Drosophila melanogaster: one gene and its partner. The protein of the gene in region 2 purifies or fractionates together with the protein of the main gene of each other region. This does not show direct contact. Each region holds a gene or a part of one and is shown on either strand. Other genes may lie near its edges.

Region 1 (6,597 bases), on a different chromosome or scaffold from region 2:
GGCGGGTGGCCACGAATCAAGAGCCGAACTTGGTATCGCTGTACGACCCGACGCCAATTGAGATTGTCCAAAACCAGAGTGAGTTCCCCCATCTTATCGGGTATTCCCTGCCCCTCCAACGCACAGTATATTTCCAGATGGCGAGCTGTTTGTTTACATACCCGGCTTCAAGAAGGAGCCCCTGCTGCAGTTCATCGATGAAGCACCGCTGGTCATCAACTATCTGAGTTTCAGCTCCTTTGGTTCCAATACGGCGCGGTGGTTTTACGACTGTGGCTTCGATGGTTATGGTAAGGATGATATATAGTAAGCTATAAGTCTATATCTGTAAGTATGTTCTAAAACTGACCCATTTCAGGGTCGGAAATTGCACCGATAGTGAAGGAGGAAACGAAGACGGAAAAACTGCTAAGCCATCTGAATATCCAGGCGGAAAATGCAAGCATGCCGGCTAATCTCAGCTCCATATCGTTCCACTTCCAAACGCGCTCCCTCGCCTACGAGCAAACCAGTTCCTTGCTTCAGACCCGCATGCACATGATGATGGTAATGAAAGATAAGCTCGAAATGCAAATATTTAGTGTGAAACAGTAAAGATACATTCGCCTATCCATGCAGCACTGGAGGGATAGTCGTCTTGTCTGGAAACCCGAGGACTTCGGCTCGCTGGAATCTTTCGAACATCCTGACCTTCGTATATGGAAGCCGCATATGAACGTCCTCAACGGCGCCCTGCAATCCATGGGTCAGGTCCTCCAATCCTATGAGCTGATGGTCTACGCCAACGGAAGCATCACCCTGTACGCTCAAAACCTCCAGCTGGCCAGTTGGTGTGTGGACAGTGCCCGAAACTGGCCAAGCGAGCGAGTGACTTGCGACATCGAGCTGGGTCTCAATGGCCAGGAGGGGCAGGAGAATGTGGCGCTAATCTACGATGATCAGCGCAAGCCGATTGCGCCCAATGAGCACGTGAACACGCCATCCGGCTGGTCGTTCACGCAAATGTCCGTGGTGCTGGTGGAGAACGATTCGCAAAGGCGATACAACCCCAAGGGAATGATGCAGAAAATGACCGGCGATGTGGCAATTGAGTTCACGCTGCAAAGGAATCGGAGCTTCTACATGACCGTCTTCTATTTGCCGTTGATTGGTAATATGAAAATGTGTTTGATTTCTTGTTATGGAATAACATATAACTACAATATATTCTTTCAGCCTGCCAGATGTTCCTGATTTTGTCCTTTGTACTGCGTTCTACTCGTAGGAGTTCCCTCATTCTCATCGCCTTGCTGATTGCCGCCTGGGGTTTAATGTACATGACGCGCTACGCCTCTCCGCATTATGTGCCGCCCATGAGTAAGTTTTAAATCAATTAACTAAAACTCACTGTGTATAATTTTCAAATTCAAATTTTCACTTTTCCTACAGTGACTGCATATAAAGTCATCATGATGACCACCACCTATTGCTACATTCTGCACATCTGCATTATATGGCTGGATCTATATCCACCCAGATCGAAGGCTCCTGGCTGGCTGGTTAGGGTGATTAACTCCAATGTTCTGCGATGCATTCTGGGATTGAGATTTTCGGATGTGAGTAGTTAAGCCCCTATTGAACACATATACGTATTGCAATTCACTATATTCCTACAGTCTACCGACTATTGCGACATTCAGGAGAATCCCTGGCACCATATGGCCAAGATCCTGAACAACCTGAGTTCAATCTTGGTCATTATAACCTTTGCCATCGTAGATATTACGAGTGGGTTTTGAAAAACAGAATTTTTCTTTATTGTGCATTTGAGAGAATATTAATGGTTCTTAAATAAATAAGAAGTAAACAGAGAAGATTGTGAAGATTTTGCGACTACAAGTTGAAAAAGTGGGAGAGCGTGCTGGGCTGTTGCGACTCCTCGCAGTTAATTGCTGCCATTGTTCCAACTCCGATCCGGGATCGATTTGGATTTGGAGTGTTTTGGTATCGGAGCTTAGTGGTAACCGTATCCACCCAGGGACAGGGCAGGTGCAGCGTATGACTTAACCAGGGCAGGAGCTGCGTAGCTGATGGCTGGAGCCGCATATGACTTGACCACCGTGGGAGCAGCGTAGCTGATGGCTGGAGCGGCATGGGCGTAACTGATGGCTGGAGCGGCATAGGACTTGATCACCGGAGCTGGAGCAGCATAGGCGATGGCAGGCGCAGCGTACGACTTAACAATGGGCGTGGCATGGGAAACAACCTGTGCATGCAAAGTAGATTGTAAGATTAAATGGGAAAATATCAGAGTATATCCAGATCTTACCGAGCTGAAGTGCGAGTAGCTGGTGGCTGGAGCTGCCACCTTGACCGCCACAGGAGCAGCATAGGACTTGACCACCGTGGGAGCGGCGTAGCTGATGGCAGGAGCGGCATGGGCGTAGCTGATGGCTGGAGCGGCATAGGACTTGATCACCGGAGCTGGAGCCGCATAGGTGATGGCTGGGGCAGCGTAGGACTTGATGACTGGAGCTGCAGCTGCATATGTTATGGCAGGAGCGGCATGGGCGTAGCTGTAGTCCGGAGCCGAGTGTCCATAATCAAGGAGTCCAGGAGCAGCAGTGGCCACAGCCAGCAGAGAGGTAAGGATCTGGCGAGGTAAATGGAAAACCAAACTTTGATGTTAATCTTTTTGATCTAGTGAATATAAGATCGAGGTAATCCTTGTATGAAGATATCCTTTGCAGTCAGTATTATTGGCTTAAAGTGATAATACTGATCCTAGGCCGCATCCTTTCCAACCCTTTCCACTCACCAGAAGTTTCATGCTAGCGCTGGATAACGAATCACTTGGCTTGGAGGGAGAATTGCAACTGTAAGTGGACGTGTGCATTGCGTTACTTTTATACCCCTCGACGGCAGACCACGCACTCGCACTCTCGAGCGGACTGCGAACTGCGGACCGGAGGACAGGTGGTCGAGCGGACAGATCTTGACTAGATTTCGATCTGAGCCTCGGACGGACAAACAGTCAGCAGACAGCAGTCAACAAAGCGGGCCAAGCAGCACCAATTTGTGAAGTATCTCGGCTGCAGTGAAACTGCAATTCTCGTAGACGCAGCTCGGATTGGAGAGCCCCCAAACGCGGATGACGCAACCTGAACTGGAGCTGGGAGTTGGGAGCTCCGAACCGAAGGCAGACCACTTGCCGGCTAAGGAGTCGCCGCAGGAAAGGCGGTCTTTACACTGGGGGTGCCATTGTGGCTCGCATTTGGAAAGCGCACGCTAATTGAAATCGCTGATTAGCTGGCCAATTTGGGCAACGCGCCAGGTGACACGCCCCTCGAAAGCACGCAGCCTTGCCACTAACAACTTAATTAGCCAACGTAGAATGCCGTCTAATTGTTTTCGTTGCTATGTTTGAGTATTCTCGAAACAATTCTCGGCGTGGCGCTGGGAAATTCTCTCCAAATTGCATAATGAACGCTTGCCAAATCGGCAAACGCCAAAACCAAACACCAAGCAGCAATCCCCTCTGGCCGAAATATCTAGGCGAGCTTCATATTTATCTTTATCGTGCCTCGAATGCCGCTGCGTGCCACATTTGACCATATTGGATGGGTGATTTCAGCCGCAGCCACGCCGTCTCGTCTCGAGGACACTCGTGCGTGGCGAGGGGGTTTGGATCGAGTGGAGGCCCCAGTTCGCCAGCTCCAGCTCCAGCTTCAACTCGCCATCGATCCATCGACTTTGCCGGCTGAAATTGCCGGTTCAGCATCTGGCAGTTCGTGGGATTTTTTATGGCCGACTTGATTAACCCCACGGGATGTGCGGGGGTACGGAGGTGTGACATTGGGTCATCACAAAATTAATAATGCTACAAATTGTTGAGAATGCTCGTCGTGATCCTTATCACGGATTAATAGTGTCTCAAGTAATCATTATATCACTTATTCGCTTTAAGTATAGATATGGTGTATATATTCATTTCTTAAATGATTTATATTTTTGTGGACTTTACATAACTTTTTGAGACAATAAGGTAGTCCGTGTTTAAATACTTGCTTTATATATTAGGGTTAAGAAACTAAAGTTTGGAAAGCACATAATGTCTCAGATTAGCGCATGCAACTTGCAGCACTTCAGTGGAGTTCCTCTCAAGAGGTCTCGAAAACACCACTTCAACGCCGAAATCTCGTAAAAAAAACTCGAAAAAAAACTTAGCACAATGAGAAAAGGACAGCACGAAACGCCGCAAAAGAGACAGAGAGTCACCTGCGATCGCAGTTCATGCATAAATCATGCATGCCAGTGGAATGTGATTTATGTGAATTCTATTAGCAAATATTAAGTCAATAGGAGCAATTGTTGCCAGTGGTCGGCGACTGCCAAACAAGTGTTCCATGTCCAATTCGATCCGGACAGATGCGGACAGATCGGTGTTGTGTGTTGTGGTCGGTGTGTCGCCGGTCCTCATAAATAAAAGATTTCCCAGCCACTGCCCCACATTTTGGCCAGGTGGAAAGCAATTTTCCAGCAATCGGTCGGTGGATCAGAAGGGTGGCAAACTCGAATGCCAAATTGCCACATACTAAATGACGATTTAAGGCGATCAGCCGATCGATCCTCGTCTTGGTTTTTATGGCTTCGATCGAGAGGCGAGTCTTTAGCCGCATTTGGATTTGGCGATCGGGCGGCGTGTGCTCCAAAATGGGTGCAAAATGCCGCGAATTTTGGATGACGGGCCTAATTAGCCACTGGCCACAGAATGGATGAGAGAATTCAAAGCGATTGCCCAATGGATCGCAAGCGCAGAATTCTTCGCGGCGCACGCTGCGTATGCGTTATTTTTCGATCCATTCAATTAATTAACGCCGCTGCATTTGACTTGCAAATGCTTCGCGGAACGGCCAAGAAAAACATTGCAAAATGGAAAAGCGCCGCTTAATTAAATCAAAAACAAACGACGAAATCAACCAGCCTGAAAAACCAAATAAAAACCGCGTGGCATTTATGACGCTTTGCCTGAATTAATGAATGAATCGTGGTGGACATGGAAATGGATTTGGAGTTCAGCTTTTGGGAGCTGACAAACTTAGAGCCTCGCTGCTGACGTGACTGGAAGTTTTTGAAATGCACCGCACCAACTTTGATGAATTTGTTTTCAAATGTATGATTCCCTTAAAAATCGATTACAATTTGGATAATATTTTAAGCTAGCAGAAAAATTCCATGTGATGATATATATATACATATTTGGAGGTCTTGTAAATGAATTAATTTTTTTCTTTGTGTATTCCGAGTCCATTTTGCATTTAGCAATCCCAACTGACTGCAAATCAATGACTGTTTCTACTCCATAGACTGCTGGCCATTTTGTCGCCTTCTTGTTTGTTTTTCGTCAACAGGAATTGGTGGTAAGTGGTGTATTTATGGGATGACTGCGTCGAGGCGGTCGGTTGTGAAATGATTATTGCCATGGTAATGGTCCAGATAAAGTGGGCTGATTAAATAGAGGAAAACGGGCTATAACGATCCTGTCTATGGATATTTGTGTATGTTAAATGGCGTGATTAATAAATAATATTTAATAAAATACAAAATATTTAAATTTAAAATGCTCTTAATGTTTGCGCTAAGGTGAAACGGGTTTGATGTAAGCTTAAATTTAAAACTAGCTTTTTCGCTGTCTTAGCTTAAAGATAAGCTTGGCTTAGTGGCGCCATCTAACAGATGTTCTGCTCAATTTTCATGACCAACAGATGGCGTAGCTTAGGACAGCGGACGTAGATAGCTGTCATGTATATTTTATGTTTTATGTAATTTACTTGTATTACAAACTTTGTTTTGAAATATAAGTTAACATTTGCAAAAAAAAATATAATATTGTTGGCTAGATTTATAGTAGTATATATAACCTTTTTAAAAAATGTATATAAAACATTCAACATCGACATGGAATGGAATCCTATTGAATGAGCAATTCAAGTTTATCATTCAATACAACTCTTTTTTCTTCAATCGATTGCCCTTCGCTACGTTTCCATAGAAAAAGACCCAGAGACTCAAATAAATATAGATCAAAGTCACTGAAGTTAATGACGTATGAGCAATGCACGAACCACAGCATTGGGGTGTCGGCGATTTAAAGGGGTTAAATGCTCCCCTTGAAATTCAACAGGTGAGCAAGTGGGTGGAATACCTATGTATGTTTGTGGGATGGATGGATTGGACTTCGCTGAACACTGACCTTAAATCCAATTTTAAACACGGTTTGTTGAGGATTGCTCCCCTTTTCCAGTTTAGCCGTGATTAAATCAACCTTTAAGCCTAGATTATTAACTGATTAAGTCCACTGCAGTTGTGTGACTGACTGCGCATTTAAGATTGTTTTTCTTTATTTGTGCGTTTGTCAAGTGCAGTTTGAAATTCAAGTTGCCTAATAACTTAAAACCCCAAGCAGCTTTAATGGCCATAATTCGTCTGTGGACGCAGAAGAGGTGGAAGAATCCGAAGGCAAAAGCCAAGAGGAGTGTCTTCGTGTTGTTGCCATTGCTTTTGTTGTTATGGCGGTGTTAATGTTGTTGTTGTAGCACCACTATTGACATTATTGAT
Region 2 (7,816 bases):
CCACTGTGCAGCGCGTTCTATTTGACATTAAACTAAAGCGATCTTTATCGCGGTGATTTGGCGAAATTGAACGTTTTTCCCACATTTCAACTCTTTACTTGTTCATTTCTCTCCGCATTTTGGGTTGATCCTCATATCGTACCATATCGTTTATCCTAAACCTTGTATCTCGAGTCCTCTATCTAATCAATCATTTTCTTGAAGTTCAAATCAAAGGCTTTAACTTGTTGAAACATATTTCTTATTTTATCCGCAACTCTTTTTTTCTCACCCAGCCAAGGCACGAACATGTCCGACGGCGTCAGCATCTTGCACATCAAACAGGAGGTGGACACTCCATCGGCGTCCTGCTTTAGTCCCAGCTCCAAGTCAACGGCCACGCAGAGTGGCACAAACGGCCTGAAATCCTCGCCCTCGGTTTCGCCGGAAAGGCAGCTCTGCAGCTCGACGACCTCTCTATCCTGCGATTTGCACAATGTATCCTTAAGCAATGATGGCGATAGTCTGAAAGGAAGTGGTACAAGTGGCGGCAATGGCGGAGGAGGAGGTGGTGGTACGAGTGGTGGAAATGCGACCAATGCGAGTGCCGGAGCTGGATCGGGATCCGTCAGGGACGAGCTCCGCCGATTGTGTTTGGTTTGTGGCGATGTGGCCAGTGGATTCCACTATGGTGTGGCGAGTTGTGAGGCTTGCAAAGCGTTCTTTAAACGCACCATCCAAGGCAACATCGAGTACACGTGTCCGGCGAACAACGAGTGTGAGATTAACAAGCGGAGACGCAAGGCCTGCCAAGCGTGTCGCTTCCAGAAATGTCTACTAATGGGCATGCTCAAGGTAATTTCATAGTCCCGAGTTAAAGTTCCTAAACTCTAATCGCTTTAACTTTTCAGGAGGGTGTGCGCTTGGATCGAGTTCGTGGAGGACGGCAGAAGTACCGAAGGAATCCTGTATCAAACTCTTACCAGACTATGCAGCTGCTATACCAATCCAACACCACCTCGCTGTGCGATGTCAAGATACTGGAGGTGCTCAATTCATATGAGCCGGATGCCTTGAGCGTCCAAACGCCGCCGCCGCAAGTCCACACGACTAGCATAACTAATGATGAGGCCTCATCCTCCTCGGGCAGCATAAAACTGGAGTCCAGCGTTGTTACGCCCAATGGGACTTGCATTTTCCAAAACAACAACAACAATGATCCCAATGAGATACTAAGCGTCCTTAGTGATATTTACGACAAGGAATTGGTCAGCGTCATTGGCTGGGCCAAGCAGATACCTGGCTTTATAGATCTGCCACTTAACGACCAGATGAAGCTTCTCCAGGTGTCGTGGGCAGAGATCCTGACGCTCCAGCTGACCTTCCGGTCCCTACCGTTCAATGGCAAGTTATGCTTCGCCACGGATGTCTGGATGGATGAACATTTGGCCAAGGAGTGCGGTTACACGGAGTTCTACTACCACTGCGTCCAGATCGCACAGCGCATGGAAAGAATATCGCCACGAAGGGAGGAGTACTACTTGCTAAAGGCGCTCCTGCTGGCCAACTGCGACATTCTGCTGGATGATCAGAGTTCCCTGCGCGCATTTCGTGATACGATTCTTAATTCTCTAAACGATGTGGTCTACTTGCTGCGTCATTCGTCGGCCGTGTCGCATCAGCAACAATTGCTGCTTTTGCTGCCTTCGCTGCGGCAGGCGGATGATATCCTGCGAAGATTTTGGCGTGGAATTGCACGCGATGAAGTCATTACCATGAAGAAACTGTTCCTCGAGATGCTCGAGCCGCTGGCCAGGTGAAAAGGATTATGCGGGCGCCCAAACTAGTTGATCTAGCTGATAAGCAAAGGTGCAAATATAGTCTTAGGTATATATGGATGTATACTAGAGTAGATTAAGCGTAGGATAAGCCATGTATATAAATAGTAAAATACTTGTCGGGTAAGATTAGTTCGCAGAAAAAATCTCTTTTAATGGACTACCAACTACAGCAACTGGAAAACCCTACTTATCTTCTAGAATCGGGGTGTGCTTACACTGGTTAAAGGCGCATATAGGTGTTATGTGTCTAAAGTTGTGAGTCACAGATCTTCAATAATTTGTTCAATTCTCACTGGTTCTGATATATGTATATGCCGCAACCTTCTGATGTAACGTATGAATTTGTGGGCACTTTTAAAATACGATAGTGGTTCTACAATACAATGGATTATACTGTTTCTAAGTGTCATGTAACCCAGTGATTCTGTGTCTATGTGGTACACATGCGGTCAAAAGAATAGCAATGTCGTCCGTGAATAATAAACCGTTTGTAACTGTTGTTTCCATACTCCCTAAGTTCTGTATTCTTTGGGGATTTTCTTTTCCTAAACAAATTCAAATTAGTTTTCTAGAATTCAGTGCATTTGATCGCATTTATACATCACTATTTCCTAATCCATACATAGGCTGATATATCGCAAAACTTCAAAAAATTAACCATGACAAAGGTATTCTGTGGTCCTTGAGGGCTTACAATTAGTGCTAACGATGGTCATATTTACATTTGCAGACTAGAGACGTTCCATCATCACCAATTAGAGCTAAGCCCAATTAATTCTACGGTGTATGTGTATCAAAGTACTTGTTGGAGCTTTCCTGAAAGCGATCGCTACGCGCCAATTCGTTGCGGAAGTAGGAGATGGTCCGCTGAAGTCCAGTCTCTAGGGGAACCTTTGGCTCCCAATGGAGCAACTGGCGGGCTCGAGTTATGTCCGGTTTTCTGCGCTGCGGATCATCTTCCATGGCCTTCGATTGCTTTATCACACTGGGCCCGCCGACCAGTTTCTTGATGATCTCGGCAAATTCGCCGATTGTCTGCTCCACAGGATTGCCTAAATTCACCGGCTGTGTGTAGTTGGATGCCATTAGGGCTATCATTCCGTCCACCAGATCCGAAACATACTGAAAGGAGCGCGTTTGTTTGCCATTTCCATACACCGTAATGGTTTCATTCCTCAGCGCCTGAAGTATAAAGTTTGACACCACTCGTCCATCGTTCATATGCATTCTCGGTCCATAAGTGTTAAAGATGCGCGCCACTCGGACTTGCACTTTCTCCTGTCGATACAGATACATTTAAAGAGCAATTAATTTGACTCCCAGATTGCTGGCCAAGATCAAAAAATGTGGTCAGTGCTCGCGCTTGGAAATCTTATCTCGCGTCAGCCAACCGAGCGGAACATCAATTAATAGCATTCCAATTGAGATCATTTAATGCTCAACTAGCGATCGAAACAGGAAAAATCTGCCACATTTCTGGATCTCAGCTAGTTTAATGTTTTTTTTTCGATCTGGCTTAGGAATGTGGTTATCCAAAAAAGTATATATATTGCTAAAGGTATTACCTGTTTGGCATACGCATAGCTCAGCGTCTCGGAGACACGCTTTCCCTCGTCATAACAGGCTCTCGGTCCAATAGGGTTTACATGTCCCCAGTATGTTTCTGGCTGCGGATGCACTGTGGGATCGCCGTACACTTCCGAAGTGCTAGCTATCAAAACCTTGGCCATCACGCGCTTGGCCAGACCTTTCAAAAAAGATATACTCGTTAGGTGTAATCCTTATTTTCTTTGATTGATATTATAAATATTTACCCAGTACATTGATCGTGCCCATGGTGTTGGTCTTGATGGTCTTCACCGGATTGTACATGTAATGCGGTGGCGAGGCTGGCGATGCCAAGTGGTAGATCTCATCGATCTCGATGAAAAGCGGATTCACTATGTCGTGGTGGATGAGCTCGAAGTTCTCGTGCCCCAGCCAGTGCTCGACATTTCGCTTGCGTCCCGTAAAGAAATTGTCCACCACGATGACCTCGTGCCCCTGGACCATCAGATCGTCGACCAAGTGGGAGCCCACGAAGCCAGCTCCTCCGGTAATTAGTATGCGTTTGCGATTCTTATAGTTCAGGTATTTAACCTTCGGATACTTGCGCGGTGTGCTGGTCTGGAGGCTACGAACTTGTTCCTCCAATCTGGCCAAATTCTCCCTTGTGCGCTGGAGTTCGGCCTTTTGTTCTCGAATAAGAGAGCTCTGCTCCTCGTACGCCATCTGAAGGCTCCTTTGTAGCGGACTTTCCGTGGGCGGCCATTTGGCCTGAACCTCCTCGACGCCGGGAACGGAAACGGCGACCTTTCCGCTTGGGCAGAAGCTGGCCATTCGGTAAAGGTAGACCAGGAGCAGGAGGAGCAGCGAGATGGCTGCAACGATCTTCAGACGCTTTTTGGTGGCAGTCATCGTCGGTTATGGGTTGTGTACTGCAGGGTTCCAGTGCTTATCAGCAACTGATATCGCCACATTGCATTCTCGTTCGGCTTTAGAAACTATATAAACAATACAATTGCGTTATCAGGAGGTGCCAGAGTGGCCAGATGGCTCAAACGGAATTTCTAAATGGATTAATAATCTAACGCCAGGGAAAAGCTCCCGCCTAATTTTAAAATTTACATCAAAAGTATCGACAGGCGAACATTTTGATTTTGGATTATAAATTATAATGAATTGATAATGAATTAGACATTTTTGTTGGTGATCTTCCCCAGGGACGAATATTTTTCGTTTTAACGATAAAAGGTCGGAAATTGCCAAAAAATGAGTTTGAAAACTAAATTTGTTTGAGGGCTTTCTTAGGCTGGTCAGCAGGGACTACTTTCCGAATAAAGTGTTTGCCCAAACGGCTATTGAAGGCTATTTAAACTGCCAACGATGAGCATCGATCGCCAGTCGGGCAAAGTTCTTAGTGCCAAGTGTTGTAGTGCTCAGCATGAGGCTTCCTTGGGTGATTTTCTGTACAGTTCTGCTTTTAATTTTTACGAACAACTCAAATGCAGATATTCCCGGGTGCAACTACTACGACACGGTTGATATCTCATACATTGAAAGGCAAAACGATTCGTATTTATATGATGACATCGAAATTCCTGCTAGCTTAACTGGATACTACGAGTTCAGGCAGTTTGGGGACGGTTCGATTACGCCGATTGAAAAGCATTTAAGGGCCTGTGTTTGCAGCGTGCGGCCCTGTATTCGAATCTGCTGCCCAGCCAAGAACTTTTTGGCCAACGGAAAATGCGATGATGGTCTCAAAGAGGAGCTCGCCCGGTTCAAACCCTATATATACTTCACATACATGGACCTACAGGCACGAGTACCACTCACCGATATGGCTATTATCAGAGATGAGTTCTTTGATTGTGATGAAATGATTTACATCAGCGACTTTAACTATTTCTTAGAAGAGGTTAGCATTCAAATCTTCAATAAATGTGGACTTATAGTTTGGTTCCAGGATGGAAAATTTTGGGTTACCGTTGACCTCTTCATGGAAAAACAGGACTACTGCTTGTACCGGCACAACTTTGATTCGGATTTTCCAAAGTCCATGTGGATAATACGACACCGCTGCACAAGCCACATATCTCCTGGATCCTTAGAGAGTAATTCAATTATTATTTATAACAAAAGTCATCAATATCGTTTTCATAGCTATATAGAAAGAAACGAAAATAACTCCTTATTGGTGTGCAAACTGCTGACTGCATTCTGTGTGCCCTTTGCAAGTTTTTTAATTACAATAAGCTGGTTTTTTATTTCTTATATTTTCTTTTTCAGTTCTAATTATAACAATGATATGCTTTGTCCTAACAATCGCAGTATATCTATACATTAAGAAGCTGCGAAATGTTACTGGCAAGTGCATTGTATGCTGTATAGTTTCGAGGTTTATCCAGTGCTTGATCATGATACTAGATCATTTAAATCTATTGAATGGCATTTGCTCTCCAGCTGGTTAGTTCGAATTGGAGATATCTCTGGAAGCTTTAAATGTTATATCGTTGACTTCTTGCAGGTTACAGCTCGCACTTTTTCCGGATGGCTTCCAACCTCTGGCTCTCCGTCATCAGCTACCATACGTGGAAAGTCTTGACGTCGCTCAATCGAGTCGACCCTAACTATCGGTTCCTGCGGTACAACGCCTTCGTCTGGAGCACAGCCGCAATCATGACGGGAAGTATTTATATAGTTAATCAGATTTGGGAAAACGATCCCAGTAAATGGAACTGGTTGCCTCTGGTCGGTTTTATTCGGTGCTCGGTCAAAGGTAAACTTTCAATGCGATTGCTTTTAAATCGTTACCATGGTTACGTATTGCTTTTCCATATCAGATTGGCACCCATCCGTCTGGATCTATATAAGTGGACCGTCGCTGGCCCTGAGCACTTTCAATGTCGCCATGTTCGCCCTGACAGCCATTTACATTAGGAAAGTGAAGGGGGGTATAAATAAGTTCACAAATGAGGAGGAGGGAAGGATTAACTGCATAAACTTTGACAGCCAGACGTAAGATATGATAAAACCTTGGACCTTGGTAAACTAGTTATCCTTGCCGTATTATCCACATAGTTACCTACAGTTCCTGCGGCTCTCCATCGTGATGGGCCTTACTTGGATATTCAATGTCATTCCGTATTCTGCACGGCTCCACATTTTCTGGGAATGGGTCGGGATAATATCCGAGTATTTTCACAGCGCGTTTGGAATTGTTTTGTTCGTTCTGCTCGTCCTGAAGCGCAGCACATGGACTCTAATGATGGATTCTTAAGCTTGTTTCTATATAATTCTAATAATTGTTTACAATTAAAGCTTTAAACAATTAAAGCCCCTCATTTTATTAATATCCTTTGCTGAACGAAGGAATTGAATTGAATTTTATTGAACTCAATAAATAAATATAGTTTTAGAAAACGATGTACTTTAAACTGCCAAGAGGTCACCGCGACAAGCTTTTCACTTCGCCACCCTCTGGTAACACTGATTCTCCAGCCACTTTCGATTCTTTAAAAAACATCGATAGGTATCGCCAAAAAAATCAGCTGCTCTGCTTGTAGTTTTGCGATTTCATTGCAATTTTAATTTGCTTTACTGTTCAAAAAGAAATACAGTGCAAAATATGCCGAACGAAAACGCAGAGGACCTCTCGGGTCAAGAGCTAAAGCAGAAGGCCAAGGAGGTGGCCGACGCATCGGAGGCAATGCTCGAAAAGGTTGTTGCCGGCTTAAATATCCAGGACACGGCATCGACGAATGCAGCAGGAAACGAGGATGCGGAGCAGCCTGATGGTGCCAAGAATGAGGCTTCAGTGTCTGCGAATGCAAGTAAGTTTTCAATATGCCTGTGAAAAGTCATTTAGAGGCTCCTCCTGCGGCTGAAAAAATGAGGTTAGGTTTTGTCGGGAACTACAGTCCAACCTCTCTAACTTGAACTGCTGTGCTATTCATTTCAATTCAATTTTCAATTTTCATTTTCTGTGCAATTACTCCAAAGATTAGCCCTAACGGAAAAATAAACAACTCATAAATCATAAATACATATTTGATTTTGATGAAATATGAATATACTTACATAGATACAATTGAGTTTTTTATTACGAATAAAATATGTGTAATATAAGATTTCTACCTTGTTGATTCCATTGATTGATGCTTCATTGAAACCCCAAAATTGGGCAAATTTGTTGTCATGGGAAACTAGTCCACTGTCGTGATGCCTTAAGCTTTTTTTGGGGCAGATTAGTCATTCCAGTTTAAACTAATCGAAAAATGTTATAATACTATTCAACGCATCATCGTTTCTTTCAGGCAAACAGGCCTTGCTACAAGCCGTTTCCGATGCTATGGCCAGCACCCGTCAGATGGCCAAGAAGTTTGCATTTTGGTCCACACAGCCAGTCACCAAGCTGGACGAGCAGGTGACCACCAACGAATGCATTGAACCGA

The links.
Region 1: the proteins of Uxs (region 2) and CG34205 purify together in Drosophila melanogaster (affinity purification with mass spectrometry, with the first as the bait; one large-scale study listed by BioGRID). This does not show direct contact.

The regions. Positions count from the first base shown.
Region 1 is NT_033778.4:22,128,336-22,134,932, forward strand, and holds CG34205 (uncharacterized protein), read right to left. Parts: upstream 2,965-6,597; 5' UTR 2,876-2,964; coding exon 2,798-2,875; intron 2,633-2,797; coding exon 2,309-2,632; intron 2,246-2,308; coding exon 1,994-2,245; 3' UTR 1,779-1,993; downstream 1-1,778. Other genes in the region: NtR, read left to right, coding at 1-78, 138-290, 359-546, 619-1,150, 1,216-1,356, 1,429-1,595, 1,656-1,778.
Region 2 is NT_037436.4:8,177,502-8,185,317, reverse strand, and holds Uxs (UDP-xylose synthase), read right to left. Parts: upstream 4,396-7,816; 5' UTR 4,278-4,395; coding exon 3,635-4,277; intron 3,568-3,634; coding exon 3,386-3,567; intron 3,099-3,385; coding exon 2,598-3,098; 3' UTR 1,949-2,597; downstream 1-1,948. Other genes in the region: ERR (estrogen-related receptor), read left to right, coding at 276-834, 891-1,799; mthl7 (methuselah-like 7), read left to right, coding at 4,804-5,476, 5,652-5,828, 5,890-6,141, 6,206-6,380, 6,444-6,642; Nmt (N-myristoyl transferase), read left to right, coding at 6,991-7,195, 7,679-7,816.